Tamandua tetradactyla: one gene and its partners. Each later gene encodes a partner of the first gene's protein in a complex. Links are inferred from orthologs where the notes say so. Each region holds a gene or a part of one and is shown in the gene's direction. Other genes may lie near its edges. The genes, in order: TUBGCP3, TUBG2, TUBGCP5 and TUBGCP2.

Region 1 (7,398 bases):
CATCATCAAAAATTTAATTATGACCTGTAAGCTCTCTCTCCTGCTTCTCTTACCCAATCCCAGGCATCCATTCATCTGCTTTCTAAAATTTTATATAGTTAGAATCATACAGTTTGTACTCTCTTTTGTCTGGCTCCTTCCCCTCAACATAATCATATTTAAATCCATCCATACTGGTGTGTGTATTAATAGTTAATTTCTTTTTATTCTTGAGTATGTATACACTACAGTGTGTTATCACATTCATCTGTTGATAGACATTTGGGCTCTTTCCACTTTGGGGCTATAACAAATAAAGCTACTATAAAAATTCATGTACAAGTCTTTCTAGGGACATATGCTTTCTTTTTTCTTGGATAAATAGCTAGACATGGAATGTCTGTCTTGTGTTAAATATATGTTTAACTGTTTTCTAAAGTGGTTGTGCCTATTTATATTTACACTAGCATTGTAAGTATGTTCCATTTCCTTCATATCCTTGCCAGTACATGGTATGGTCAGATTTTTACTTTAGCCATATTCTAATTGATGTGTAGCAGCTTTTCATTCTGGGTTTTTGCTTTTTTGGCTGCAAAAAGATTTACTGTTCATATTTGGATCACAGCTTGTTAGAGGGCTGCAAGATGTCTCCTGGATGGAGGGAGGGGCTTAGGCAGAAGTCCAGATGCTAGGGGGAATGGAGAGCCCACAGGGCCCTCTGGGCTAGGGAGGATTCTATTTGTACTTCAGAGGAGCTTTAAAAAGGGATACTCCCTCGTTGGTTGGTTGGTCAGATGGTCGCCCATCTTCTTCATGAATTTTACCCCCTCATCTAGAAGTGACTCTCCAGGGAGCCAAGGAGATAGGGTCTGTGTGTACACAAGTCAGGGCATGCAGATCCATAGCAGCCAGTTTCAGGTTCTTCTGCATGGTCATAGAGGCTTCTGTGGCATACAAGGTGTCATGGTTAGGGACAGGTGTCAACTTGGCCAAGTTGTGGTACCTGTTCATCTGATTGGGCAAGCGCTGGCCTGTCTGTTGCAATGAGGACATTTCATAGGATTAGGTCATGATCACGTTAGCTACATCCACAGCTGATTCCATTTGTAATCAGCCAAAGGGGAGTGTCTTCTGCAGTTAGTGATGCTAAATGCAATCATGGGAAGCCTTTTAAGGAGGACTCAGAGGAGACAGGTTGCATTCCTGCTTTGGCTGGTGAGCCTCTCCTGTGGAGTTCATCCAGGCCATCCATTGGAGTCATCGGCTTCGCAGCCTGCCCTGTGGATTTTGGACTCTGCGTTCCTACGGTCACGTGAGATGCTTTCATAAATTTTATATTTGCAAGTGTTCCCTGTTGATTCTGTTTCTCTAGAGAACCCTAACTAATACACAAGGTTTTACCCCACTCGTCTTGGATGGCTTTTGCACATCCTGGAAGAGGCACAGCTGCTGCACTGGTTTTGTATCTTCGAGAGACATTTGGCACCTCGGCACTTCTCCTTCACCTATGTTCTAATTTGCTAACTGCTGGAATGCAATATACCAGAAACGGAATGTCTTTTAACGAGGGGAATTTAATAAGTTGCTAGTTTACAGTTCTAAGGCCAAGAAAATGTCCCAATCAACACAAGTATATAGAAATGTCCAATTTAAGGCATCCAGGGAAAGATACCTTGGTTCAAGAAGGCCGACAATGTTCAACATTTCTCTCTCAGCTGGAAGGGCACATGGCGAACATGGTGGCATCTGCTGGCTCTCATGTGGCTCTACCAAAAAGGACTCTCTCCAAAATGTTTCCTGTTTTAAAGGATTCCAGCAAGCAACTCCACCTTCAGTGGGTAGAGACACACCTTCATGGAAATCATCTAATCAAAAGTTACCACTCACAATTGGGTGGGTCACATCTTCATGGAAGCAATCAAAATGTTCCCACCCAGCAATTCTGAATGAGGATCAAAGGGCATGGCTTTTCTGAGGTCCACCACAGATTGAGACCGGCACAACCTACTTGTTCTTCAGGGCCACAGCTCTGCAGTTGAAACAGAAGTTCAGAGAATGGTAGGTATGGGAGACTGCCAGAGAAAATTGACCAGGTGGCTGATGAATGCCTCCACTTTGCAGGAATAATTTTGGTAGATGGGGGAGCTCATGCTAGGTTGAGAAAGAGAAACTAACTACAATAAATAGTGTTAGCTGGCTCCAGAAGCAGGGAATAGCCTAGAAGGTGGTGCTGGAGCTTGCAACTGGAGAGAAAGTTGGACTATGGTTGAAAGCTGATGGGGGAAGGGGGTTAGCACCCAGATCTGTTCTAACAACTGCTGAAGCAAGAGATAGTTCCATGAGACTGCTGTGGGTGCCGTGTTAGTGTGTGTGTGCGTGCACACATTTAAATTGTCTGGTCCTAAAGTGTGGGATTTGTTTCCCATGGCATGAAACTGCTGATGTTTCTATTTTGTTTTCTTTTTTAAAGAGAACTTTATTTTGAAATATTCCAAATGTACAGGAAAGTTGCAAAAGTCTGCCACTTTTAACTGGCAAAGCTATGGATTTTTACCTCTTGCACCATGTCAAGTCTGTTCTTCTACCAGGTAAGTTGACAGTTTTTGCATCCAACCTTTTACAGGAGTCCCAGGGTACTCTCCAATCAAGCTGTGGAGGGGGGATTTAGCAGCCCTGGCAAGAAGAACACAGACTTAGATTTTTCTAAGTCAATACGTGCTTCTTAATTGTCTTTTGTTGACTTACAGTATACTGATTTGGTTTGTTTTGACAATTTTGTCTAAATTTTTTCTTCCTTCACCCCATCATCTCTTGAAGTCCTATACACTTACAATTATTTTATCTTCCTAATGAACTGGCCCTTTCAGTATTATAACATGTCCTTTTTTATCTCTGTGTCCTAGTTTCCAATTGTGTGACTAGTCTGTAGACAAGTCCAAGTCTACATCATGTTTTATATCCACCACACTGTAGCATTTTACATATTTTTTCATTTTTTAGACTGGAAGACAGAAATACATTGAGGCAAAGTTCAGTAATAGATGAAGTTGTAAGGTCACAAGAGCTCAATATGTAGTATGTTGTGCTGTGTGCTCTCTAGTTTCCTTCCCTCTCACTGTGTCTTTTTACCCTATTATGTGGATATCATGCCTGCTCTTGGGCCCAGGCAAGTATAGCTGTAGGGCTGGCAAGAAGTGCTATGGTCATATGCAACCGCTGAAACTGCAGTTTTGCTTTTGAAGTCCTGACCTTCTAAATGCCTCACTCAGAGACTGTTTTGGTCTTATGGCCCTAATGGTTTTCCTATTCCTAGCATTCAAGTGGAATAAGAGCACAGGTATTAACTGTCTAGTACAGCAAAAGACTTTCTTCAGTGTCTTGGCCCTCAACAGGCACCTATTATGGTATCGTCTGCCATCCCCTAGTTCAAGGAGGAAACTTTTCCATAGTCCTAGGTAGAGGAGTTTTGAGTTTTTCTGTGACCGTGATGAGGAGAGTGAGTAGAGGGTTGATTTGCTTTCTTTCTCACTTACTTCACTTGATTGTTTGAAGGTGCCTTGTTTATCCATGTTATAGCTCAGGTCATCCTGAGATACAAATTCTTTTGCTCTTAATTCTAAATTCCCTGGAAAGAAACGTTGGTTGGTCCAGTTTGGGACAAGTACCCAGCCCTGGTCTAATCAACTGTAAAAAGCTGCCAGGATCTCTTGCCTTGGGCCAGCTAGCTGATATGTAGATTGGATCATTAGTTTCATTTAGTTCCAGAATTGGGAAGTTTTCAGTGCCTTTGTCTCCCTTGTGGAGCCTGTGTAAGCTTGAATGATGTAACTGCCGGCTTATTTATCTTTTTCTCCTCAGGCCTTTTCCTCTTCTCTCACTTTTCTTCTGGATCTTACTCTTCGGATGATGTCATAGTTAAACGGGTATTGAGGTAGTGGAGTCGGTGAAGGTTTGGGGCTGGGAAGTCAGTATAACTAAAACCATGCCCTGTAAATAGTCCCATGCTCTGCTTATAAGAGCCCGCTTTGGTCACAGCAGATGTGAAATGCTAAACCAAACGTTAAAAACCATAGAACTCTCGTACTTTAAACAGGCAAGAATGACTCAAACCAAGGTAACTAAAAAAAGCCCAAAATTATGGACTATAAAGGCCCTACTGACCACCAAGCACTCTCATAGAAAGTCATTCACAATCATGAACCTTTGAGCAACGTTCTAAAAAAGTCCAGGAAACGTTCTGAGAAGCATAAAGCAGTACTACTGATACAAAAGCTTAGTAAGGTGGTCAATTTGCTAGCCGGAACTTTTCTGGCCCGCTCGATGGTGGTCGTGGGAAATTTTGCGGAGACGGGAGAGGGGGATCTTTTAAGTCGTTGCACGCGCAAGGCCTGGAGCCGTGGGGGAAGACGAAAGGCATTGTGGGGGCTGGCTAGCAGTTTCGGCGGGTTCTGTTAAAATGGCGCCCTTTACACCGGCGGTCTCTATATTTTAGCCTGTCAGGGGAGGACGCCGGAGCCCAAGCGCGAGGCGCGGAGAGGGGCTAGCGGCGCTGAATGTCAGGAGGGTTCCTGTGTGCAGCAGCGGCGGGGTCAACGCGGAGTCCCCGGAGCGTGCTCCACCTTGGGGAGGGTGGGGTGCAGCTTGTGGGTGAGTGACAGGGGCAGTCCACCTGGGTCCGGCCCGCTTGCGTCCCAACCTCCGTTTGTCTGCGTTTTCAGTCCCGAGGCGAGGATGGCGACCCCGGATCAGAAGTCGCCGAATGTTCTGCTGCAGAATCTGTGCTGCCGAATTCTGGGCAAAAGCGAAGGTAACCGCGCCCGGGCCGCAGGAGCGAGCGCCGCAGGGGTGGGACCGGGCGGCTTGGGACTCGGAGATCTGTCCCGGAGGCCGCTCTCTTCTTGTCCGGGCTGTGAGACGTTCCAGCAGGCTCAGGAGGAGGACAGGATTCGGCGTCAGGGCAGGGGCTGGGATCCCTCAGGCCAGCGGTAGCGGAACCTTGAAGGGTTGCCGAAGGCCTGCTAGATGCTTCGGTCACTGCTGAGGCGGCCCGGAGCCGCGCGGTTGGCCAGCGACAGGAGAGAGTACTGGGGTGTAAGGGATCTGGGGGCCTCGAGAGCAGGCTGAGTCCCGGTCTCAATAGGCCTTGATCTGTAAGATGCAAGAGTGAATTACGGAGGAATACTGTCGGGTTGCGAATTTATCCGCCTTTTCTAATGTCACATAGCGGGGTGGATGCTTTGCAGTTTTTTTTTTTTTTTTTTTTTTTTTTACTGAGTGGAGTTAAAAGAAGGGGTAGAACTGGTTCCCAGTTACACGTGCCTGATTGCTGCAAGAGTGACGTTCGCATCCTTTGGAACAGAACACCACGGAGCAGCGTCGGGGGAAGGTTAAGGCTAGCCACAGGTGTTACCTTTGTCGTTAGGAAAGTGTAACGGATTTGAGTATAATGTAAAGGAGGTATTTGTGACTGTTACCTGTCAGGTTTTTCTACTATAAAGGGTTGAGGGTTGGGTTTGATGTAAAACTGTCCCAGGAAAGTTCGCATAGCGAATATTGTTACTAAGAAGCAAAACCAAAAACCAGTCCTTTACAATATGTAAAGCCACTCTTGGGCCGTGGCACTTAAAATAAGTGGTGTGGTATGTAACCTCTTTGGGTGTGTGTGTGGGGGGGTGTGTATGTATGTATATATACTTTTTTTTTTAAATTTTTTTGGGCGTGTAGGGTGGTGATGCACAGAAGGGAATTTTCCAAATTGAACCACCTGGTTTATTTATTCCTTAAGCACTGGATTGTAGAAATGAAAATGTACAAGTTTTGAGGGAAGACTTTTAAAACGTTTCATGTTAACAAAGTTGTGAGACTGCATTTTGACCTTTCTTTCATGACTCGTGACCATTAGTGTGTGAAGTTCATTAGTTATGTGATAACTTTAGGAGCAAAAGATACTTTTTTTTTTTTTTTTGCCACTATAGTAAATGACTGCCTTCATGGTTCTTGCTACATTTTGCAAGTGTTTCACTTTATCCCTTTATTCATCCTAGAAATATTTTGAGCATCCCAGGCATTGTGGTGGTGGTGTGATACAGAAATGAACAGAATAGACAATTGTCTTTCCTCTTATAGAGTGCACATTATAGTAGAGGAAACAGGTGATAAAATATAAATAATTAATGTTAATTAGTGGTAAGTGTTACAATGAAAAATAATGTAGGTAAAGGAATAGAGAAGAGGTCAGGGAAAGCCTCTGAAGAGTTACTTAAACAGAGATCAGAATGGAGTGAGGGAGGGCCTTGTGAATACATAGGGAATATTCCAGATAGAGGGAAAAGGTTCAGTGGCCTTGAGGTATATTGGTGTACTGTCTTCTGGTTTTTTCTCTCTTTTGTATGTGTATCCCTAGCACTCTCAGTTACCTTTCTAATTTCATGTTCATAGTTATAGGAGAATCCAGATCACTAAGATTGTTAATTATGGCTAATCCACTTTAACGCCTTTGTTTTATCATAGCAGTGGTTCTTAAATTTTTCCTTCAGAGATAAACCATGCATTCATATATTTCCATTACCATAACTGGATTTTGAGAATTTTTGTTCACTTGAATTGTTTGTTATTTTTAATTTTTAATTTTTTGGTATGCTGTATGGCAGGGTTAAATTTCATTATTTTTCCATGTGAGTATCCTGTTATTGCAACACCATTTGTTGAATTTTTGTTTGTTTGTTTTTGCTTGTTTGTTTTTTTAGGGGGGATGTGCATGGATGGGGAACCAGACCCAGGTCTCCCACATGGCAGGCAAGAATCCTACCACTGAATTAACCTTGCACCCCTGAATTGTTTATTTTTGTATATTTTTAAATTCAGCTGTCATCTTTTACCTGAATGTATGTATAACCTTTTTGAGATACAGAGGACAACCATCTTTCATTTAAAAGTTCTTGGGCCTACATCTTGGTGTGCTTTGGAGCCTTAACCTTTGGAATTGAGATAGTGCAATTCCAGTTGAGCTTCTTGCCTTGGTTTTTCACTTCCACTAGTCTTTTCTATACTATAGTCACAGGGCCCTTCCTAGAAAACAAATCTAATGACGTTTGTTGAGGAAACGTATTTTTTTCTCTCTCTATAATCCTCAGATTGAAGGCCAAATTATTTGTCTTGTTTAAAGTTTAAAACTGTGGATGCTTTATTGAGTTTTGATTTTAATGCTGTGTGTATACCTTGAGATAGTGTATTTAAGTCTCAAAACAGTTCTGGGAGGTCTGTGTAGATATTATTAACCTTATTTAATAGACTAGAAAACTAAGACTTTGCTCACTGTCATCTGGTTTATGAATTGCAGAGCTAAGATTGGATCCACTCTCTGCGTCTACAGTTTATTTTCGAGTAATTCATTCTTGCCCTTCAGTGTAGAATTTTTTA
Region 2 (7,782 bases), on another chromosome or scaffold:
CTTTTTCCAATCCCTTATTACTCCATCTTTCTGCAGCCTCTGATGTCAAACTATTCCCCCTTGGAACATTCTCCTTCCTAGGCTTCTGCTATACCCTTCTCTATGTCTGTGCATTCAGATACAAATAAAATTTGAATTGATTATCCAAATCAAATAGCTTGAACCACAAGGAAAATATATCTCCTATTTCAAGAAGTCCAGGTATCAAACCATGGTTGATTAATTTGATGGCTCAGCAGTCATCGGGATCTAGGTGCCTCCCATCTTTCTGTCCTACCATCCACAGCATGATGTTTTGTCCTCAAAATGCTCTCTGCATGGCTGAAAGTGCAGCAGTTCCAGGTGCCATATCTAAATGTAACAACATGCAGCTAAAGAAGAGAGTATGTCCTTTCCTGTTGGCTCTTCATTCTTAATTAGTGAGGAGATCTTTCACCAGAGCCCCCAGAAGTCTTTTCCTCACAAGTCATTGGTCTGAATTCCATCATGTGTCCCTTCCTAAATTAGTCCCTGGCAAGAAAATTATGATTACTCTGATTGGCTTGGACTAATCAGGATCACCCATGAGCCACTTGGAGAAAAGATAAGATGCAGAACAAAATGGGCTCTGTCCAAAACTAAGAGGGTAGACAACCAAACCTGTACACACTAGTTTTTCTCCCTCTTTTCTGCTTGCTCCTTCATTTTCCTTTGCCATGAAATCTTCCTTCCTACCACTTAACTGTTGAATTCTACCAGATTCTATTCTGAGTCCTCTTCCAATCTAGGACCATCCTGCACCGTGCATTCTCTCTTGTGACCCTATTCATTGTGTGCCTTTAACCACTGCCTGGACAAGGATGGCTGTACACCCAGATCTCTCACCTTAGCTCTAGGCCTGTGCACTCTCTGTTACCTCTGGGACCCCTAAATCCATCTAGACATCCCCAGGTCCCCTAAAACCCCACTTGTTCAAACACATTCCTCCTGATTTCCCTGTGTCTCAATAAATGGCTCTACCTTCACCCAACAACCCAAGATGATCTCAATTTCCCCAGCTTATAACTGGGTGCCCACACATTACAGGCGCACAATACAAGAATTAACAAATGGCCCACACACAGGCTTACTTCTTATTTTGGTTTACTTCCTATTCCTTGAAAAACCATACGGAACAAGTCAGCTGTTTCATTCTATTTCATAGTCAAAATGTGAATTTAGCAAAACTCCCCTTACATGAAGAGCTTCAGCTCTTTCTCGTCACAGTTTTAATTTTCCCTTGCCTTCACTTTGAAAATTAAACTCCATGGGGCCACAGAATCCCAGTCTCATGCCTAGAATTGACTCTAACTACCTGTTTTTCCATGAAATGCACACTGCTCTTTCTCCCAGGCCCTGAGATACACCCTCAGTCCACCACCTCACCCTTCTACCTCTAACCTCCAAAATATACCTGTGCTCTTGACAGTACATGCAGGCATCCAGGAAAGGCCAGAAATGAAGATGTATCAAAAAATTTTTTTTATTCAATATGGAGTGTCCAATCAAGACTCTGGACATTTAGCAAACTTCTTAGTTATTTACAAATGCTACATTTATTATCAGATGCAGAGCAAGGCCTCAGACAAAGGAACGCCACATCCCACTACATTGTCATAATCTGGGTCAGAGAACATGGAGCCAAGAAAATTAAACTCAATACTTAACTACGGGTAATGACCTTGAGACCCTAGATTTGAAATCCAGGAGATAATGAACGTGGTTCTTTCATTCAACCTCAGTAGAAGTTACAGCTGAAACTGAATATGACCAATCATTGCGTTTTATTTATTTTTAATGTATTTAAAGTAAATATCAACTTTACTTTTATCTTGAATAAAATCTTTCATCTATAGTTGTAGCCAAGTTGTACTTCAGTTCCAGCTGCACGCAGGGGTAATGACAGCAGTTGATATTTGTTGAGTGCTTACTATAAGTCAGGCACCATGCTAAGTGCTCATGTATTATCTCATTTAACTGATATGGATGTCAGTTCTCAGCAGAAATGGAAAACCATAGTCTGCTAAGAACTGGAAGGATTTACATTCAGCTCTCTAAGGTGCATAAGCATCTGCATTTCCAAGCTATTTCTACCAGACTGAGAAGAGCCTCCGGCTCATCAGAGATGACTTATTACACAGCAACTTTTCCAACTCAGATAAACTCACACGTTCTAACCTGCTTGCCTATAAACTGGGATTTGAAGGAGTTTTTCACAATTCTGGGGACCAGGAAGTGGAAAGCATCGTTATTAATCACATGAAAAGATAAAAATTAACTCATGTTTTGCAAGAGTTCATAAACTACTTATAGCTTGTTATTATTTTAAAGGAAGCAAACTGAGCCTTAGAAAACTCACAAGGCAGGGAGGCCTGGCAAGTTTGCTCTCATCTCTGAAGCCTTCCTCTTCACCCCTTGGCAGACGCTGAGCTCTGTAAAGGTCTTGGCAAAGCCTCTGAAGACAGCCAGATCTTAGGGAGTGATCCAGTTGGAGGAAGAGTCTCTGAGGCTCAGAGAGTTGCTTAGACTCCACCTTTAAACTTCAAAGGAAGTAGCAGACCCTCCCCAAAAGGTCACGTCTACTGGTCCCCCTGAGGGATGCCTAAGATTTTCTGACAGGCGAGAGGTGGAGGAAGCTGGCTAGAAGGCCCTGGTGGGGTGAGGGGAGTGAAATTGAACCAAAGCTGGGGAAGGGACAGAAGTGGGCCTGAGGATTCCAGGAGGGTGGGGACTGGAAGGCGGCCTAGTTCTTTTGAAAGAGAGAGAGAAAGAGTGCTTTTACCAGTGCCTCTGCAGACAACTTGCAAAGAAAGCCCAGCAGACAGGGACAGACAGACAGAACACATCGGTGAGGATTTGGAATGTTCCTTGGGGTGCAGGAGACTGCATGGGCTCTTTAACAATTGGTTTGGAGACAATTGGACATCCCTATGGAAAAGATAAAATAGAATGCTATCTCACAGCAGGCCTCCAAATAAATTCCAGACGAACTGAAGACCCACAAGGAACAAGTAAAACTAGTATGAAGCTTTTGGGGAAAAAAACCATAAAAGAATAACTTATGATACTGGGTTAGGGAAAGGTTTCTTTAACAAGGAATAAAACATGCAAAATATAAAGGAAAAGATAGATAACTTTGCCCACATTAAATCTCTATAACAATCTCGTGATATTCTATGCAAAGTGAAAAGACAAGCCATCAACCAAGAGACAATATTTGCAACTCATAGAACCGAGGCAGATTACTAGAACATCTTTAAATGCATACAAATCAATAAGAAAAAGAGAAGCAACCCAGGAGAAAAAATGGGCAAAAGATACAAACAAGCATTTCACAGAGGAAGAATCCTGAAAAGCCAGTAACAAAAGAAAAATGAAACAATAGCAATTAAAGCAATACATGATCCTGGACAGGATCTAATAGAGGAGGAGAGAAGGCTCAAAAGGACATTATTGGGACATATGAAAACATGAATATAAACTGTAAACTTTACATCAATGTTAAATTTCTTGGACTTGATAATTGTACTTGAGGTGGACACATAAAATGGAATATCCTTGTTTTTAAGAAATGTTTTTGACTGTATTAAGTATTCTAGGAGCATGATGTATACAACCTATACTGAAGTATTCAGAAAATGAATTGTTAGAGAGGCAAACAGATGGATGAATTGATAGATTGATAGGTAGACAGAATGATATGGCAAATGTGACAAAATGTTAAAACTAGTAGGTCTAGGTATGTGAGGGAATAGGGATATGTTGAAGTTCTCAGTGTGGAGTTCGTATTATTTTTGTAACTCTAAATTTGAAAGTATTTTTTAAAAAGTTTAAAAGAAAAAAGAAAAGAACAGCAACTTCACTAGTGACAATAACTGGAAATTACAACAATGAGATCTCATTCAGCATCCATAGAATTATGAAAAATTAACATCTGATAGCCCAAGTGTAGAGATGGGAATTCTATTGCTGGAAGAGAGTAAATTAATATGACCATCTTGGAGAAAATATGCAAAACCTAGTAAATTTGAAACTGCACAAGCCCCTTCTAGCAGCATTTTCCCTCATGCTCATAAATGGACAAGTCCTGTGCTTCCTCTAATAGGGAATAAATGGAAGCAATCTAAGCCCTTCTATTTGGAAATAGAATAAACTGGTTTTATTCACCCAACGAAATACTACACAACAATTAAAGGGAATGAAATAAATCTACAAGTGTCAATATGGCTAAATCACAAAAACCCAATGTATGGTGATAGGGTAAAAAAAAAGGAGGTTGCAAAAGGATATTACACTGTCATCATTTATATAAAAATTTTAAAATACATATATAAAATAAGATATACATAATATAAAAGTTGCCAGAATAATAATTTTAAAGTGTGTAATTCAGTGGCATTAAATACAATTACAAAACATTTTAAACATAAAAATACAATATCGTACTTGTATGTTTGCAAGTTTTCGTAAAATTAAATTTAAAAGAAGAGAGTTTGTTTGGACCCAGCTCCTCTCCCTAGCAGATTCCGCAGAGCCGCACATCTACCCCCCTACAGCTAGCTCCACACATCTGGAGCGTCTGGCTAGTACGCGACGGCGGCCCAGCCTCTCCCCTCCCCCAGATTCCGGTCGCGACCCTGCGGGTCCCCGCCCCCCCCGCCCCCGCTGCCTCTCAATGCGCAGGCGCGGAGCGGGGAGCGGGAGGGGGCAAGGGGGAAGGGCGTGGCCTCAGTCTGCGCCTGTGCCGAATTCCAGCTGTAATTGCTGTGGGAGAAAATGATGCTCAGGTCTGGCTCCCCGGCAGGCCGGCCGAGGGGAGGCCCCTACTGCACACGCGCAGACCGAACACCCGCGTCAAGAGACCAGGAGAGTGTGCTTCCCACGTCCTGCGCACCCCGCTGTCAAGCACTCGTCTCTGCTACGACTCCTGCCCGGGGGTGCTGAGCGCCCACGTCTGAAGAGTGATGCCCCGGGAGATCATCACCCTGCAACTGGGCCAGTGCGGCAACCAGAGTGAGCGAGTGCAGGGTCCCCTCAGCTCCGGTTCTGCCCCTTCGGGTTCCACCCAAGTGCTTGGCATCCTACAGTCCTCCTTTCCCTTCCATGCATCCCTACCCTAATGCGCGTGATGAACGGAGCCCCAGACCAAAAGCGGCCCCCAGGCTGTGCGGGGTCCCGGACCCAGGCGTCTTGAGCGCCCTCTCCAAGTGTGACAGTCTCTGTCCCCCACCCTGGGCTTCTTAGTTCTTACGGCTCTAGCAGACCGAGGCATCTTCACCCTTCCCCCCAGTCGGATTCGAGTTTTGGAAACAGCTGTGCGCGGAGCATGGTATCAGCCCCGAGGGCATCGTGGAGGAGTTCGCCACCGAAGGCACTGACCGCAAGGACGTCTTTTTCTACCAGGTGCCCCCAGCGATTTTGGAAGGGAAGGGCACTGGCCTGGGATCTGGAAACCGGCTGGCAGAGGGGCCAGGGCTTGAGGAGAGGGGGGCAGGCAGGAGCCAGGGTTGGGTTGTGGGAGCACTGGTTAGGCCCCAGCTGACTGGGTCCCGGCCTGGACTCCCCTGCTCAGGCAGATGATGAGCACTACATCCCGCGGGCTGTGCTGCTGGACCTGGAGCCCCGGGTGATCCACTCCATCCTCAACTCCCCCTACGCCAAGCTCTACAACCCAGAGAACATCTACCTGTCGGAGCATGGTGGAGGAGCAGGCAACAACTGGGCCAGTGGATTCTCCCAGGTGCCTAAACAGGCCATCCCAGAAGACACCCCAGGTCAAGGCAGGTTTAAGCAGCCTGGGGATTTGACCGGATCAGAGTAACAATAAATGAAAGACAAAGGGGGATACTCTGACTAGAGGAAGAACTGGGAAGAGGTTTATGCAAATTGTGTGCAAATTATTTGCCAAGTAGCAGCTGCAGTTTGAGGACCACATCTGAGGCTCTGCTTGAGGGTGGCAGCAATGTCCCAGGGTAGAGCTTTTGGTGTTGAAAAGAGATGCTCCCCAGAACCTTCTCACCGTGATCCTTCCTCCACACATTTCTACTCAGGGTGAGAAAATCCACGAAGACATCTTTGACATTATAGACCGAGAAGCAGATGGAAGTGACAGCCTAGAGGTGAGGCTCTCCCCTGCTGAAGGAAAAACCTGGAGAGTGCTGGGGAAAAGTCAGGAGGTGGCCTGAACAGTTGGTGTGATGAGGCAATTTGAAACCTATCAATTGAGCATCAGATGTAGAGTACTGAGAGATAAGGGACAAGCTTGTCCTCACATGCCACAATCTGAGTGCCATCAGCCCCTTAGGCATGAGTCATTCAGCCTCTGCTCAAGGCTCTGAACCTGGATGGACACACAGGAAGCCTCCAGACATGGGTATGTTGTGCAATGAGACAAGCCTGAAGCTTCTCCACCCCTCCCCATACAGGGTTTTGTGCTATGTCACTCCATCGCCGGGGGGACAGGTTCAGGCCTGGGCTCTTACCTCCTGGAGCGCCTGAATGACAGGTGAGCCCATGTTTCGGGAGAGGGCATTAGCCCTGGTTCCCTAGGTGATGTCCTTCCTTTTTGTCACCTCTTCTATTGAACTGGAAGGTATGCCACTACCTCTTTTGAGTCATAAGGACAGAGCCTGGCCACCCAAGCAGCATCTTGGAAGCAATGACTCAGGGGATGGCAGGTTCAATGCTTGCGGCTTGTCCTTTCTGGCTCCTGAGCTCTGAAGATACATTTCTACCCTTACTTCCTCAATCCAAGAATTTGGTGATGCTTGTAGAGGAATGGCTCCTGTTGTCCCTAGAGAATAAAGAGATGGGCAGTGATGGGGAGCCTCCAATTCACTGTGCCGCCCTCCCCTCCCCCTACCCTCAGGTACCCCAAGAAGCTGGTGCAGACGTACTCAGTGTTTCCCAACCAGGATGAGATGAGCGATGTGGTGGTGCAGCCCTACAACTCCCTGCTCACGCTCAAGAGGCTGACCCAGAACGCAGACTGTGTGGTGAGCACAGAACAGAGCTGGGGCTTTGGTCAACCTCTCCAAACCAGGGGATCACATACACTCTGCCCTGCCCATGCCCCTTTCCAGAGAACAAAATCTTATGAGCTGAATTCTGAAATCATATCCAACCCTCAAGTTGTTTACAGTCCCTTTAGGCAGCAAGACTCTCAACAGAGCAAACCTCCCACCCAGCTGCCCCCACTATGCCTGCTTAATGCCTACTCATGCTCGGATACTCAGCTCAGGGGTCACTTTCTCCTGGAAATCTCTGACCATCCAGTCAAGGTCAGATTCCTTGAAGCATATTTCAGATTGTAGCTATAATATTTGTGTTTTACATTTAATGTCTGTTTCCCTTCACTAGACTGAAGATCTGGTGAGGGGAAAGACCATGCCTGTTTTTCTGTCCATTGTACCTCCAGGCCAAGTAAAATGCATGACACAGAGAGAGAAACTAAAATATTTGTTTACTACACTGGACACTAGAAAAGTGTCTTGGGTGCCCCAGAGACTACTAATTCCTGATTTTGGAGTTTAGGTCTAAGCTAATATCAACTTTCTATGTCCCCTTTTTCCTCAAAAGTTACTGTGGCCCTCTTCTGTCCCCGCAGGTGGTGCTGGACAACACGGCTCTGAACCGGATCGCCACTGACCGCCTGCACATCCAGAACCCGTCCTTCTCCCAGATCAACCAGCTGGTGTGGCCCCACCCTGGACCTCCCTGCACCAGCGCCCTCCCTGCTGGTGGGCTGTCTGGGGAAGGGAGGCC
Region 3 (7,134 bases), on another chromosome or scaffold:
CAATACACTTTGGGCTACCAAGGATGTGTAGCCCATGGTATCTGGAGAGTGTGCCCTTGGCAGCACAAGAGATGAGTAAAGGTTACTCACTCCTTTGCCTGAAAAACAACTCTTGTTAAGCAACCAAGGTGGTATGCTTAGTTCTCCCCAAGGTGGTGGCCTTCCTTCCTGTTTGACAACGGGCCATCCCCAGGTCTATCCCAATCACAACTCCATAGGGCTGCCCCAAGTAATGGTCACCAGACTAGATGCAGTGCCCATGGAGCACTAGCCCAACACTTAGTAAAAGTGGACTCAAGCACTAACTAATTATGGTGGTGTTGTTGCCACCCTACAGGCAGAAGCCTCAGAGACAATCTTCTAAATGCAGGCTGAATGCAATGTCATGTTATGCCAGGTGTGACGGTTAATTTCATGTGTCCACTTGGTTAGGACAGGATGTCCAGCAAGCTCTGGTCTGATAGTTACAGTGAAGGTATTTCAAAGATGAAATATGGCTGATTGAATCTACAATCAACAAAAGCGATAACCTCAACAATGTGGGGAATCTCCTAATCTGATAATTTAGCAGTCTTAAAAGCCTGAACTGAGGACTTCAGAAGCAGAGAAAGCCACAGGAGGAGACTAAGGACATCATTATGTGATGGAGGACTGCCATCATCAGAATATTACCCACTTCTGGGAAGAGGCAAGCTCTGCTGATAACTTGATGTTGGACTGCTATCCTCTAAAATCATAAGGTAATAAATTTTTGTTGTTTAAGTCAGACTAGTGGGTGGTATTTGTTGTAGCAGCCCTGGCAAACAAAAAGACCAGGGTATAGCCTATTAAAAATTCTTGTCTAGAAGTTGAATGTACTTTAGGTAGGGAGAGGTGTCAACATCTGGCCAACACAACACAATCCCACACAAGCCAAAATGCAAGCACTCCAGCAACTGGCAATTCCATCCCAGCAGCCTTTGTCATATCAGAGAACCAGTTGGTTACCCAAGAGCGGTCCATTAAAGCTGATGAGGTTTTCTCAGTCATGGCTGACCCATCCTGTTATAACACTGGTGGTTCTGATTTCCCACTCTTCACCCCATTGGTGATAGAAGGATTCCTGCCCTAGGGTAATGGAAATGGTCAAACACAGAACACCCAACATTAGCCAGATGAACTCAATAGCACTTCATTAGTCATACATATTTGCAGCTTTGAGGAGAAGGATCTTGTGCCATGTAAGGTCTCACCAGGATTTCACCTGAGAACAAAGTGAACAAGCAGAGGCCATGGGGGTCAGGCATTGTAGTAAAAAAAAGGAGGTACCCACAAGAGGATGTGTTGGTTTATTTGAATAAATAAATAAATAACCCCCCATGGGCTACCAGGAGACTGGAGCCTGCTATTCAAAGATAAGAGGTACTGTGCCTGGTCCTGGTGATAATGAGGTTGTTTTGGCAAGGGCACCCATGGAAGTACAACAGGAAGGTGAACTTTAGGCCATTCAAAGTCCTCCCAGTTATACATAACAAGCCACACATAACATAAGGCCTGTCACAGTTACGTTCATGTGTCAACTTGGTCAAGTGGTAGTATCTGTTTGTCTGGTTGGGCAATGTCTGTTGCGATGAGGACATTTCATAGAATTAAATCATGATCATGTCAGCTACATCCACAGCTGATTACATTTGTAATCAGCCAAAGAGGAGTGTCTTCTGCAATGAGTAATGCTTAATCTGATCACTGGAAGCCTTTTAAGGAGGATTCAGAAGAGACAGGCAGGCTCTTCCTGTCTCGGCTGGTGAGCCTCTCCTGTGGAGTTAGTCCAGACGCTCCATTGGAATTGTTGGCTTCACAGCCTGCCCTGCAGATTTTGGACTCTGCGTTTCCACGATGATGTGAGACACTTTTATAAATTTTATATTTGCGAGTATTTCCTGTTGATTCTGTTTCTCTAGAGAACCCTAAATAATACAAGACCTTAATTTTTGGCCTTGAACCAAAGTGCATGTGTGTGTTTATATATACCGATTTTTTGGTGATGTACAGACACCAATTATTGATTTGGGTGTCAATAAAAATGAGAGCTGTATGGACAGATTTGAGAGTTATAAGCATACAGATGAGAGTTGAAACTAGAATAAAGAGATTGCCCAGGGAAAGCGTATAAGTTCTCTTATACAGAATAATTTTCCTCCTCCTTAAGGTAATCTTGTGCAATGTTATTGGTGGTATATCACTATCTAATACTATAGAAATGCAATGCAACAAGCCACATGAAAACCCATAAAATTTCTAAAAGAAAAAATTTTTAAAGAGACATATGCAGTAAGTTTTTAAATGGTTTGCTACAAGCAATAGTTAACAGAAATAAAGGCAGTTTTTATTACAAATAACAAAGGCAGTTCTCCAACCTTGGCCAGATAGTTATAAATTCCTTCTTCAGCCATTTTCCGTTATAAGCAACTGAGAGCAGGAGGCATCTTTCAAAATGACCTTGGAGCAGTGAGGTGTCATCACTTGGCCTGTGTGACAGGAAAACTTAAAAGGTCATTATGTTCAATTTCTTCATTTTTCTATACGAAACTGAACCTTGGAGAAGGATATACAACTAACCAGAGTCATGGTACCTGAAAATAAGGGTATAAAGATATACTAAGGGGTGCATGGGTGGCTCAATGCTAGAATGCTCTCACCTGATACTCTTCTGCGTCTTCAAACCTACTGTTGTGTGTGCCTAGTATATTTTAAACATCATCTAGTGTCATTTATTTCTATAATGCCTGTTATTTTTCTATATATTCTTCCAAATTCTTCTTTATGCTCTCCTAGTTTCTTCTTAGTATCTTTTATCTCTTCATGCATATTCCCATTCATTTATTTGAGTTTTTTCAGGAAATTTGTTTGAACATCTTTGATTAGCTATTCCAGATTCTATATCTCCTCTTTCAGATTTATTCTTTTGACTGGGGCATTTCTTCTTGTATTTTAATGTGTCTGGTGATTTCTTTCTTTGCTGCTATCTAGTCAACTGATCTTTCTTTTTCTCTCATTATGAGTATGTTTTTAAATAGCTTTCAAGATACATATTTTCCCCCCATTTTAAAAACCATCTGTTCTCAGTTTCTGCTAGTGGTCCTCGTAGGCCCAAGCCCCTGCTCCCTGTCACACGGGAGTCCAGGGTTCTACTCTAGGCCCATGCTCCCCTTACCCTCCACCACCCAAAAAAATAAAAGATATTACTGAATTATGATCAAAATTATCAGAAGTTAAACCATCAACCAAAATTAGCCAGAGACCATTACATATCTCTTAATAGTAACAATTAACTCTTGGAGGACTTGCCAAGTGCCTGGCTCTAAATGCTGTATGCGCACTAACTCTATTAAATAGGAATAACCCTTCTCTGCCCCACCAGAACCCTCTTTTGAGAAAACTGAGGTTGAGGGAGAAGCGACTAGCCTGAGGCCACACCCCCATTAAATGGCAGGCGGAGGATTAAGACTCTGTGTTTTCCTTTCAACCTCGAAATTATACACTTCTCTTGGTCCTGCTGTACGCACTTCGGTGTTCTTGTCTCTTTTGACAACCAAGCGATATGTGAGGCGCTTTCCTGGGTCTACGGGGATTGCAGAGCAAGAGAAAATGTTAGTTACTCTTCTCCAAAAGTTGTTTCTTGTCTATATAAATATGCTACATTTTGTCTTAAACACGAAGGTTGTATGATATATATCTTTTAAGTTCGATGAGGAGAAAATCCTTCGGCAACAATACTGTGCCTTAGAGGTGTGAGAGAACCTCCCAGGAAGCGGCGTCGGCAGCGAGCTTTCTGGAGCTCAGCGTAGGAATGGAGCTTCATGCAGGTCACACAAACGGTCTGTACCTCAAATAATGCAGTATCTTCTTTATCTTTGTATTGTTTTGTTTCCTTGTCGGTTTTCTTCTCTGCAGTATCTTCTTTAACACACTCAACTTTACTAAGTGCAAGTGGGAGACACAACACCAACATCTCACAAAAACAATACCGGCAGCATTGTCCAGAAGACATGCGCACTGACGCCCTAGTCGTCACACGACCGAAGCGCGAACTCTTGCGATAGCAACCAAACGTCGCCGAGACCCAATGCCGCGGCTGAGCTAACTCTCGCGAGAGCAGTCGTAACTCACCGAGAACTTGCATTGCTGGTGTGCGAATGCGCGGGTAGTGAGGGATAGCAGGGGCAATGGCTCGAGCCGTTCCGCCGTGGAGCTGGCTGGACAGACAACAGGAGGTGGACGTGCTGGAGCTCGTCCGGCATATGACTGGTCTGCAGGATGAGGCGGACCCCAACTTCCAGCTCGCCCTGAGCTTCGTCTGGTCCAACTTCAGGTGTGGGATGCTCACGGGCGGGGACTCTGCGCTTGGGTCTTTGTGTCCTTTTTGCCCAGCGAGCCCAGAGGAGGAGGGGCGGGGTCGCGCAACCTAGCTGTGGGATCCTCGGGGAAACCCGCATAGGCCCTGCCCTTATTCGGTGCCTTAGGGTCTTCTGTGGCCCCGTCGCGAGACACACGCGTGCTTCTACAGTGAATTGTGAGTTGTTGAGTGCCCGCCTCCCGTCTTAGTATGTGCGCTTTTAGAGAGCAGGTTCGTACTCTGTCTCTACTGTAGCCATTGCGCTTTGTGCAGTACGAGTCTTAAGAGCAAAATAATGATCACATCCTATTTAGAGTTGTATTCTCTCTCACTCCTTCTTCCTGCCCGGGCCATTCCAGATCTCCCTTACCCTGCTCTCGGTGTTTTGCCAGAGCGCTTATCAAAACACATTGGATATATCAGTTGTTTACTCTTTGTCTCCACCTTCCCCCACACCCAGCTGGAATGTAAGTTGCTGGGGAGCAAGGATCTTGGTTCTTGGTCTGTTTTGTTCATAATTGTATCTCAGCACCTAGAACAGTTCTAGACCCGTAGTACACTAAGTCACCCAATACAACCTCTAATACAGCTTCTCATTTAATTATTTTTTAAATAGCTACGATTTAGATAATTAGGTTGCAGTCGAGCGCCTACTTTTCTTTAGGGAAAATATAAATTAGACAATACTGTTGTGATCGTTACTGTAATGGAATTCCTACTAAAAGTAAGTGTTAGTGTTAACATTCTGCCCATTTAATTTCATAGAAATCGCAAACAGTTTTTTTATCTGTAATCTTGATTATCACAATAAAGTGCCTACTTGATTTATAATAAGAATAGACGGCTTTCAGATCTGTACGTTTCTGAAATGATCAACACAGTTCTTAAATGTGATTTAGAAAAGTGACACTGTCTGCAATATCTCATGTAAGACAGAAAATTAAATGTGCTATCCCAAATGATTTTTATTAATATTTTTAAATGTCAGTAGATAGATGGATATCATTTTAGTTAGGAGAACTTTAAGTTACTATCTCCTTTTTTAGATTGAGAAACTAAGTTATGATAGGTAGGGTGATGTTCCCACACAACCAGATATTGGGGTAGATTTAGATGTATTATTCACAAGTGTAATTTCCTACTTTTAAGTACGGATTGCTGACTTTGATAACCAAAAAAATGGAAAATGAGAGTTGAATAAGCTATACTGTACTGTTGAGATGCTTTAGTCAGTCAGAAAAAGGAACAATTCATGTTTACATTTTTAAAATTTTGGTCATGTTCTAGGTCCTAAAAATCCAGAAATGGATAAGATAATAAAAACTTCAGTCTTTAAGGAAAACAGGGACAAAAGGGAACAATTACAATATAGTCTTGAACAGGTGTTTTTAACTTGAGAGTCTGAAAATGGAATTCAGGTGTATGTGAATTTGGATAAGAAAATATTACATAACCTCTAGCTAAAAAGTAGTAATTCCTTCAATTATGAATGAAGGTAACAAACCATAATAGTATTAGGCTGTTAGCCTACGATTGTCACCAGTAGAGGTCACAGATTACTTTTACATCATAATATAGTTGCTGCAGATATTTCTCAATATTGCTCACTGTTACTTCAATGGTAGTTATTGAACTTAGGCTAGATCTTGTTTATTATTACATTAATAAAGAAGTACTTTAGTTAATGTACATTTTAAAAATTTTTATTGACAAAACAAAACAACGTGCAGACACCAACATTCTTAACATACAAACATTCCATACATGGTGTACGGTCAGTGGCTCACAATATCATCACATAGTAGTATATTCATCACCATGATCATTTTTTAGAACTTTTGCATCACTCCAAAGAAAGAAATAGAAAAGCAAAAGCAAAAACCCTTACGTACCATACCTCTTATCCCTCCCTCTCATTGATCACTAGTATTTCCATCTCCCCAATGTATTTTAACCTTTGTTCCCCCCTTTTTTTTATACTCCTTACCACTCCCTTTCATTGATCACTGGTATTTCAATCTACTCAATTTATGTTAACATTTGTTCCCCCTATTATTTATTTATTTTTAATCTATATTTTTTACTCATCTGTCCATACCATACATAAAAAGAACATCAGACACAAGGTTTTCACAATCACATAGTCACATGGCAAAAGCTGTATCATTATACATTAATCTTCAAGAAACATGACTACTGGAACACAGCGCTGCAGTTTCAGGCACGTCTCTCTAGCCCTTCTAATATACCTTAAACTAAAAAGGGGATATCTGTTATACATTTTTTAAGTTGACAACTGTATTTCAATATAGTAGTTTTCTTTGTTTTTATTTTTTTTTTTTTATTTTTTTATTTTTTTTTTTTTTTAAAGGAAAGACAGAGAGAAGGAAGGAAGGATAGAAGGAAGGAAGGAAGGAAGAAAGGGAAACATTTTTAAACATTTTCTTGTTTTATTGTATTCTGTTTCTCCGTTTTTGTTACATGGGCTGGGGCCGGGAATCGAACCGAGGTCCTCCGGCATAGCAGGCAAGCACTTTGCCCGCTGAGCCACCGCGGCCCACCCCTTTGTTTTTATTTTATACGTTTAGAAGATTGTTCTGGGTAGGGGTCTTTTAGGTTTCACTGTGGTATAAAAAAGATTACAAACACCTGATATAGAATGTGCTATGTTGGCGACACAGGTTATTACGGGAGGACAAAGGAACTAAACGACTGAACTGGGGAGGTGAAGGATGTGCCTGTGTCCTAAGGAAGGGATG
Region 4 (7,999 bases), on another chromosome or scaffold:
CTATAGACAGGAAACTTAGCAGCACGTGCCGATGTGCACATGGGCTCAGAGTTGTATCCCTCAGCCTCCAGGAGGGATGCAGGAGGGACAGAGGTCAGGACCAGCGGGCCTGGCCATCGGGGTGAGCTGGAAGGAGTGCAGGCCCCACAAATCGGCCCTTTCCAGTCTGCCCCAGGACCAGCTGCCTGGCGGCCCTCTGCCAATCCAGGCCACCTTCCACACAGTAGCATGTGCGTCCAGCCTTCTGTCACCAGGCAAGACCTGCACTTCTCATGTTAGTTTCTTTTGCTTGAGCGTCTGCTGACGGACCTTTAGTCTTCAGCACCTTGAGCTGCTGGCACAGTGCTCCCCAGACCCAGATGGCCATCCGCTCCACTGCCCACTGCCCCAGGGACCCCGAGCTCTGGGCCTGGCTCAGGAGGGGCTGGGGCTGCAGCTGTGGTATCCAGAGCCAGAGGACACCCCACTGCCTCAGGCTAAACCCTGAGCCCCGAGAGAGAGAGAGAGAGGGAAAGAGAGAGAGAGAGCGAGAGGGCTGTGCAGGTGGGATGGGGAGGGGGTGGGACCCTTGGGGCTGGACTAGCCAGCTGACATGCCCCCGGCTCGGTGCCTGGCGGGGACGGGGCCTCTGGAAGGGGTACACCCTGGAGGGTCCCCACTTTTGCAGGTCTGGTCCTCAGACCTCTTGACTTGATGAAAACAGGGCTGATGCAGGGTGTTCTCCAGTGTCACGCTGCCTCAGCACCCCCTGCTCCACCTGCCTGCCCCAACTTCCCCACTGGCTCTTCTGCTGCAGGCTCTGCACTCCTCTGCCCACGTGTCCATGGAGAGACGTGAGATGAGGATTCACTGTGCCTGCCTGGGCCCTGGATTGGGACAGGTACTTGTGAACCTCCCGCTCCTTTGCCCTGTCCCCTTCCTGCCCTTAAGATCGGTTCAAACATCCTCCCTGCACCACCACCCCCGCCCAGTCCCTACCCACTGATTCCTCCCCTGCCACTGCCTCCCCCAGGAGGCTACGCTCCCTGTTGCATGCCCAGTGCCTAGGCCCCTGCGAACAGCCACTGCGCAGCGGACGGGACTGCAGACAGAGCACCTCCTCCGAAGCCACGAGCTTCAGGGCCGCAAGCGGAGTGTGCATGGTACCCGGCCAGCCGCCCCCGAGAGACCTGAGGCTATGTGCCCTTGATGAAACCCGACACAGAAAGGGAAACAGGCATGGGTAATAACGGCTGCGTCCCTGTTTAGTTAAAAAATACAGAAACGGAACCAGAGACCACCGGTGGAAATCATTTATCTTACATTTATCTGAAAACACAGTTCTTCTGCCGCCCAGGCCAGGGGCAGTGCATGGGCTCCCGTTGCCTCCAGCAGGGATGGAAAGCGGGCGTGCCAGGCTGGCGTTCCAGTCTGCGTGACGGACACTGACACCTGCACCAAATGACCGGGACATGGAGGGCGGCCAAGGCCCACGTCCCGCACCAGAGCTGTCGGGGGACGCGAGAAGCCGCCCACTCCTGGTGGACGCACCCCTGCTCAGGCCTCGGTTGCGCTCGCCTCTCTCTGAATCCATCACAGGTGTTGGTCTCATCTCTTGGAGCTTTTAAATCCTCGTGATGCGCCTTGACCAAAACATATGGTAGAAGGTACCCTGGAGCGGAGAGAAGGGCGTGAAGTGGCTTCTCTGCCGGCCAACAGCCCCTGGCCCTGGTCCCGAGCTTTTCTCCCCAGTGCTGACCACCCTCTTGCACTGGGACAGTGGGTGCCGGCTCCCTTATCTCCAGCTTTCTGCTACCCAAGCCCTGGGCAGTGCTTCCCGGCCCGCCTCACACCCACTTCTGGTGGGGGGACCCCCCGGGGCCGAGGTTGCCCACTGTGCAGAGCCAGCCGGCCGGAGCTGGGGTTCAGACACGCTGCCCACAGCACTCAGACACACTGCCCACGGCAATAGGACTCACAGGCTGACGTCCAGGCACTGCAGAAGGCAGCTGAGGGACACACAATCCCTCTCCTGGCAGTTTAGAATCTCTGGTGATTTTTCCATATTTCCCCCCAAAATAGAAATTAAAGCAATTTTAGCCCAAGAAAAGCATGGTTAATACTAGGCAGGTAGCCTCACCAGCTAGAATTGACCGATTAGGTACTGCCCTTTTTGTACTTCAGTTTGGGCAATGATGAAAAGGTAGACACGCTTTGCATTCCTGGGCTTCAAGGGGTTCCAAAAACAGACGACACAAAAATAAAAAATTAAATTATTCAGGAAATGGGAATACTGAAGCTTTCAACTCCAGCGAAGCAACACCCTCACCTGGAGAGTCGGCCGGTGAATGCCCCAGCTCAGGGCCAAACCCCGACTCCCCACGTGGAGCCCTGAAGCTGCCTGCCACTGACCTGCGGCTGTGCGTCCGCGTCTCCACAGGGGCCCCCGGGGGCATGGCCACCTGCTCGTCTGCAGAGACTTCCATGGCGTCCCCTTCCGACTGCTCGCCACTGCCGCCCAGGGCTCCGGCCGTCAGGGGGATGCGTGGCCCAGGTGGGGCCCGGCTGCGGAGGAGACGCCGTGAGGGTGGTGCCCTGCGCTATGCCCCCAGCCCCCAACTGCCTTGCCAGGAGCACGACTCCTCGCGAAAGTGTTTGCTCACAGAGGGAAACAGTCTAATCTTCTAGGGAACATCTCAGGTCAGCAGGAAAAGAGAACCGTTAGAGGCCAAAAGTGAACATGACACAGTAAACACAACTATTGTATAAACTCAAGTATGACAGCCACTCTGTTTCTTAAAAACTGTATTTTTAGGGGTGATGAGATAAATACGTATCAAGTCAAGCATCTGCTCATGACAACTAGTGAGAAATTTACTAAAAATAACGGGAGGCTATAAAGTATTTGGAGTGCCCCCAATACCACCCACAAGCTCCTCCGTAAGGCAATGTAGAGATTTTTTCTTTAAAGTCACCCCAGAGAAAGGAGTCACTGTAGCACAAAGCCTTACAGAGCCTCCCACACTGCAATAGTTCCCACAGCTATTCTGTCTTCAACAGCAAGGTCCCATTTAGAGAAAATAGAGTACTCTGAAAAAACTCGAATCAATGCAAATTTTGGTTATCATCAAGGTTCACTTGAAAAACAGGCTAGAAGGACCATAACACAAAGCTGGTAGATATTCCTGGAAGCTCTGCCCCAATTTCACAGGAGGGCGTCAACTGTAAACAAGCCTGACCCCACACTCTGGATGGGACACACAGGAAGGCCCCAGGCGAGAGGAACGGGCTCAGAGGCTAGATCTCTGTAGTGTGGACGTCTGCCAACCAATGACCAATTTCTGGGGGACCAGCTCCCACAATGGGAACCCCAATCCATGCCCAATGCTCTTCTCCTCTCCCACCTCCCAAAGTGGAGCCTGGACAGCCTGCTGCCCACCTGCCCGCCCTCCCTTTCAGGAGCAGGGCTGCACGTAAAACAGCCCTGCCAAGGATCTGGCTAAATGACACACGGACACTTAGCGAGAACCCACTGAAGGTGACCGAAGGACGGCCATAGCAGCACACTCGCCCAGAGCGCCACACACCCTCTGCTTGTCCTTGGCGTGTCGAACCGGAAGTCCGCAGGGTACAGGTGGAGCCGCACCATGTGGTCCTTCCGGGCCGAGCTGGTCCTGAACTTCTCCGTGCAGCCTTCCACCAGGCACTGGTACTGAAACAGGAAAGGGCCACCCGCCATCACCACGCCGCAGGTGCCTCCGCGCACCCAGAGCGCCCAGCTCTAGAGGGACACGCGGCATGGGCACCAAGGGCAGGAAGGGGTCCCTCTGGTCTTGCCCCAATGTCCTGGAGGCTGGGAGGGGCACGCTGACCTCCAGGGGACTCAGACCCAGCAGCCTCACCCAGGACTGTCTGCCACCAATGCAGCCCTAGCACCCACCCTTGGGCGGGCCGGAGGTGACCTCTCAGTGGGTGCTGGGGGCCACTCACCATGTCCTGCCTCTCAGACAGGATCTGGAAAAGCGCATCGTGCCACTCCAGGACGTGGGTGTCCAGCAGGTGTGCAGAGGGGAATGCCCGTTTGCAGAGGGAGCAGGCGTGTCTGTGCCGCGTGTGGTAGTGGTGCTCATAGTCCTTCAAGGTTTCAAACACCTGGCAGCAGCCTGCCACCTGGCAGGTGAACTCAGGCACCCTGAGCGAGGAAAACAGGCTTCGCAGGGATGCCTAACTCCACCCTGCCAAGAACGGGAACTAGGCTGTCTGTAGACAAGTTTTCTCCCACTGTTCCTTTCACAATCCCAAATCCTAATTCTATGAATAAATGTCACATAAGCTAACTGAACGGCAGAGAAGCGGTCAAGGCAAAGCTGGGAGAGATCAGGGCAGCTGGCATGGCTGGTGCCAGGAGGGTTAAAAGGTAAGGGTGGCAGTGCCCGGCCGGGTCAGGGGCTGGCAGGGGTAGCCTGGACTGGGACTGTCCTGCTCGTGCCAGCAGGGCCTCGGGGCCTCAGAGGGGTCGAGAATAGGGATGAGGGGTGCGTGCGGGGTCAGGGCCAGCACCTGGAGCAGGGCAGGAGGGCGTGGGGCGCTGGGACCGCTCACCTGCACCTCTCGGGCTCCTCGGCCACCTGTGTAAGCACGTCCTGGAGGTACAGGTGCCGCTGCACGTCCCCGTCCTGCAGGAGACACGCGCCCGTGGTCAGGGCCGGCGCTCCGCCCCCGCCGCCCAGGCCCCGCCCACCCGTAAGCCCCGCCCCACCCCAACAGCCCCACGCGCGAGTACGCACACACACTCACGCTCCCTCCGTCCCACCCTCTACTGCGCACCTCGAAGAACTCGTGCTCCCGCGGGAAGCGCACCAGGCGCGCCGCGAAGCGGAAGGGCGCCGTCGCCGCCGCGGGGTCCCTCACGACGGGCAGCGGCTCGGCCGCCACGGGGCCCCCGGCCAGGCGAGCGCGGAGCGCGGGAGGCAGCTGCATCGCCCAGGGCGCCGCCGCCCGCCCCTGCCGGCCACCGTACGGGACCCGGGCGGGGCGGGGCCGGACGTGACGTTTCGCCCCTTCCGGCGTTCGCGCGGGCTGCGGCGGCTGCGGTGCCGGCTCTGTGGTGAGTCCCGGGTCCTTCGCGGGCGCTGGCGCAGGGACCAGGCTGGCTTCCTCCGCGGCCGCATGACGCGAGGCGCCCCCCTACCGCCCCCGACCCAGGCCCCAAAGCGAGGTCCTCGGAGGGCCCCCAGACCTCGGGCCGCCCGTCAGCGCCCACCGCGCAGGTTCCCTCCCGAGGGCCGCGCGCCCCCGTGGCCGACCCCTGCGCGGGCCTCCGCCGCAGTCTCGTCTCCTGCAGACCAGTAACCGGACTGGAGCCGGTGGTCTTTGGAAAGCTCGCGTTTGGGGCCGCCATCCTTTGCTTAAAGCCCTTAAGTGCGTTCCCGTTGCCTTGGTCTGAAGCCCCCTGGGAACCTGCATCTCGGCCTTTCAGTCCCCGCCGCCCCCTCGGCGCCGTGAGGGGCCGGTCGCTGTGCCGGTGCTCGGGTGCGCGGGTGAGAGAGCCGTGTGGTCCCCGCCTGCCCGCAGCGTGCCGCGGAGCAGGAGAGAGGTGTTGACTGGTTCGGCAGTTACCTGTTAAGATGGCGATACCTGATGCCTAAGAGAAGTGCGGGGGCGCAGACCGGACGGGGAGGGAAGGGGCTGCTGAATGGGACTTGAGCTCCCCACCCCCAAACATGTCTCATCCTTGAGCAGAGCTTATAAATGTCATAGGGAGGAAAAGGGGGTGTTATTTCTTCAAGAAATTAACACAAAAATATAACTAATAAAAATGGCATAAGATTTATTAATTAAAATTTAATTAGGACCTATCTGTATAGCTCATTTGAACAATTGAAACGCAGGAAGCACAGAATAAGAAAGAGATTCTTTGATTCTGTATAGATTATTGTAATGCCTGGAAACACCCTAGAGTATATTAAGTATCAAAAAGTATTGGCACCTCAAAAAACAGTGTAAGTCTATGGGAAATATTATGTGTGTGTATAAAACCATGGTAATTAACCAGGCAGGCCGGGAGTCAGTGGAACAAGAACTGAGGGGAAAAAAAAGATGATATGAAGCAATTTTCAGGTAAAAGAATTTGTTATCAGTAGACCTGCACAATGAGAAGTGGCACTGGAAGTTCTTTAGGCTGAATGAAAATGAAATCAATGGAAGAGCAGAGGTATAGGATAGAGTAAAGGGAAGTGTTAAATTTGCAGGTAAATACAAACTACATTTTTTAAAAATTTCTTTAAGATGTATTAAACTGTTTAAAGTAAAAATTATAACGTTGAATTGTAGGGTTTACAATGCACATAGATGTAGCACATGTGAAAACTATAGAATAAAGATGAGGGGATGTTAAATGTGAAAAAGAAAAGTATTGGCAAAGTCCTCTGAGGGATGGGAGAAAATATATGGAACTATTAACCTAACCATCAGGGAATCCCCTGATACTGTGTCAAACTTTAGGGACACCCAAGTCAATAGGCCAAGCCCTTGATCATGAGGCTGACTCTCATGAAGTTTAGGTAGGTAGTGGAGAAGTTTAGCCTACCTATAGGTATGCCTAAGAGTCACCCCTGGAGGACCTCTGGTGTTGCTCAGATGTGGCCTCTCTCTAAGCCCAACTCTGCAAGTGAGATCATTGCCCTCCCCCCCTACATGGAACATGATATCCAGAGGTGAAAGTCTCCCTGGAGGCATGGGAGAGGACTCCCAGGGATGAGTCCAGCCTTGGCACTGTGGGATCAACAATTCCATCCTGACCAAAGTGGGGAAAGAAATTTAACTAAGATCAGTGGCAGCGAGAGTTCAAATAGAGCCAACAGACTACTCAGGAGGTTGCTGTTATGCAAGCTTCAGGTAGACCTTGCTACCTGTCATAACCTGCCAACCCCCAACCAGGGCCATTCCAGCCAATCCTAAAGAACACCTAGGGCAATATATAAGATTCCACAAGAGTTCCAGGCACTATAGTAACTTTCCAGGAACCAACAACCTCCAGATGGGCCCTTGGACCAGATAGGTCCTGAAACCTAGAGGGCCCAGCCTCTCCAGAACATCAGATAGTTCCATCTCCCTACCCCATATTAGTGACAGACCCTTCCAATATCAAAAATTTAGAATTGTCCATAGCCCAAACACCACAAGGAGAGGGACAGAAAGATCAAAGGTGATGGTGGAATTATACAGAGAAGATGGGACTTACCAATTAACACATGAATATAAATGCTGAATCATTAAATTGTACTAGTCTCCAGTATCTTAGAGCAGCTAGAAGTAAAAACCTAAAATTATGAAATTGTAACCCATGTCAAGCTCTGACATATGTTCTACTAATTGTGGTCCTGTGCTTTGAAATTTATAGCTTTTTTGTATATATGTTATTGTTCACAAAAAAGAAGTGGGAAAAAAGTTGATTGTGATAAAGTATTTAAGCCCTCTACCCTCCTGCATTCTGGAGCAGCTAGAAGGAAAAATCTGAGAGGACGTTATGGTAGCCCATGACAAACTCTGGAATCTGTCCTGTAACCAATTATTGAAGAGTGCTTTGAAAACCATTGCTTTTTTATTTCTTTGCTTTGTATATATGTTATACTATACAATAAAAAAGTTAAAAAAAATTTTTAATTAGGACCAAAAGTTTTGTGCCAAATCTCCCCCCAGTCAATTTTAGGCCTAAAAAAGATTCTGTTATGGACGCTGTCTTCGTTTTTCATCTCTAGTTTGCTCGCTGCCGGAATGCAATATACCAGAATCAGAATGGTTTTTAAAATGGGAAATTTAATAAGTTGCTAGTTTACAGTTCTAAGGCTGAGAAAATGTCCCAATTAAAACAAGTCTATAGAAATGGCCAATCGAAGGCATCCAGGAGAAGATACCTTGGTTCAAGAAGGCTGATGAAGTTCAGGGTTTCTCTCTCATGTGGAAAGGCACATGGTGAACACATTCACAGTTTCTCTCTTGGCTGGAAGGGCACATGGCG

The links.
Region 2: TUBGCP3 (region 1) and TUBG2 share a complex: the UniProt entries of both Homo sapiens proteins name them as parts of the gamma-tubulin ring complex. The link is inferred for Tamandua tetradactyla from reciprocal best matches to the Homo sapiens genes TUBGCP3 and TUBG2.
Region 3: TUBGCP3 (region 1) and TUBGCP5 share a complex: the UniProt entries of both Homo sapiens proteins name them as parts of the gamma-tubulin ring complex. The link is inferred for Tamandua tetradactyla from reciprocal best matches to the Homo sapiens genes TUBGCP3 and TUBGCP5.
Region 4: the proteins of TUBGCP3 (region 1) and TUBGCP2 are in contact, whole or in part, in a cryo-EM structure (PDB 8Q62), measured with the Homo sapiens proteins. The link is inferred for Tamandua tetradactyla from reciprocal best matches to the Homo sapiens genes TUBGCP3 and TUBGCP2. Residues at the interface, in NP_006313.1 of Homo sapiens: Glu272, Asn273, Cys274, Ser286, Leu287, Asp289, Thr290, Val292, Arg293, Glu296, Trp299, Ser361, Thr363, Leu364, Arg365, Leu368, Val369, Tyr372, Lys375, Ile376, Lys379, Ala382, Ala383, Asp386, His387, Ala402, Tyr403, Lys405, Thr406, Gly407; in NP_006650.1 of Homo sapiens: Gln172, His173, Pro175, Ile176, Phe177, Pro178, Trp180, Arg184, Ala186, Leu187, Ile188, Gly189, Phe191, Leu222, Tyr223, Val226, Val228, Asp229, Gly230, Arg231, Glu278, Ser281, Phe283, Gln287, His290, Ala291, Ala294, Arg297, Val300, Lys301.

The regions. Positions count from the first base shown.
Region 1 is NC_135330.1:182,786,843-182,794,240, reverse strand, and holds the start of TUBGCP3 (gamma-tubulin complex component 3), read left to right. Parts: upstream 1-4,385; 5' UTR 4,386-4,710; coding exon 4,711-4,786; intron 4,787-7,398. UniProt on the Homo sapiens protein: Component of the gamma-tubulin ring complex (gTuRC) which mediates microtubule nucleation.
Region 2 is NC_135332.1:24,574,747-24,582,528, reverse strand, and holds the start of TUBG2 (tubulin gamma-2 chain), read left to right. Parts: upstream 1-4,770; 5' UTR 4,771-4,982; coding exon 4,983-5,031; intron 5,032-5,308; coding exon 5,309-5,421; intron 5,422-5,590; coding exon 5,591-5,758; intron 5,759-6,068; coding exon 6,069-6,137; intron 6,138-6,413; coding exon 6,414-6,523; intron 6,524-6,886; coding exon 6,887-7,013; intron 7,014-7,624; coding exon 7,625-7,711; intron 7,712-7,782. UniProt on the Homo sapiens protein: Tubulin is the major constituent of microtubules, protein filaments consisting of alpha- and beta-tubulin heterodimers. Gamma-tubulin is a key component of the gamma-tubulin ring complex (gTuRC) which mediates microtubule nucleation.
Region 3 is NC_135338.1:74,105,856-74,112,989, forward strand, and holds the start of TUBGCP5 (gamma-tubulin complex component 5), read left to right. Parts: upstream 1-4,125; 5' UTR 4,126-4,205; coding exon 4,206-4,351; intron 4,352-7,134. UniProt on the Homo sapiens protein: Component of the gamma-tubulin ring complex (gTuRC) which mediates microtubule nucleation.
Region 4 is NC_135339.1:95,751,043-95,759,041, reverse strand, and holds the start of TUBGCP2 (gamma-tubulin complex component 2), read left to right. Parts: upstream 1-4,994; 5' UTR 4,995-5,086; intron 5,087-5,607; exon of another isoform or gene 5,608-5,632; intron 5,633-7,999. Other genes in the region: ZNF511 (zinc finger protein 511), read right to left, coding at 1,588-1,651, 2,392-2,544, 3,567-3,691, 3,970-4,171, 4,582-4,655, 4,807-4,959. UniProt on the Homo sapiens protein: Component of the gamma-tubulin ring complex (gTuRC) which mediates microtubule nucleation.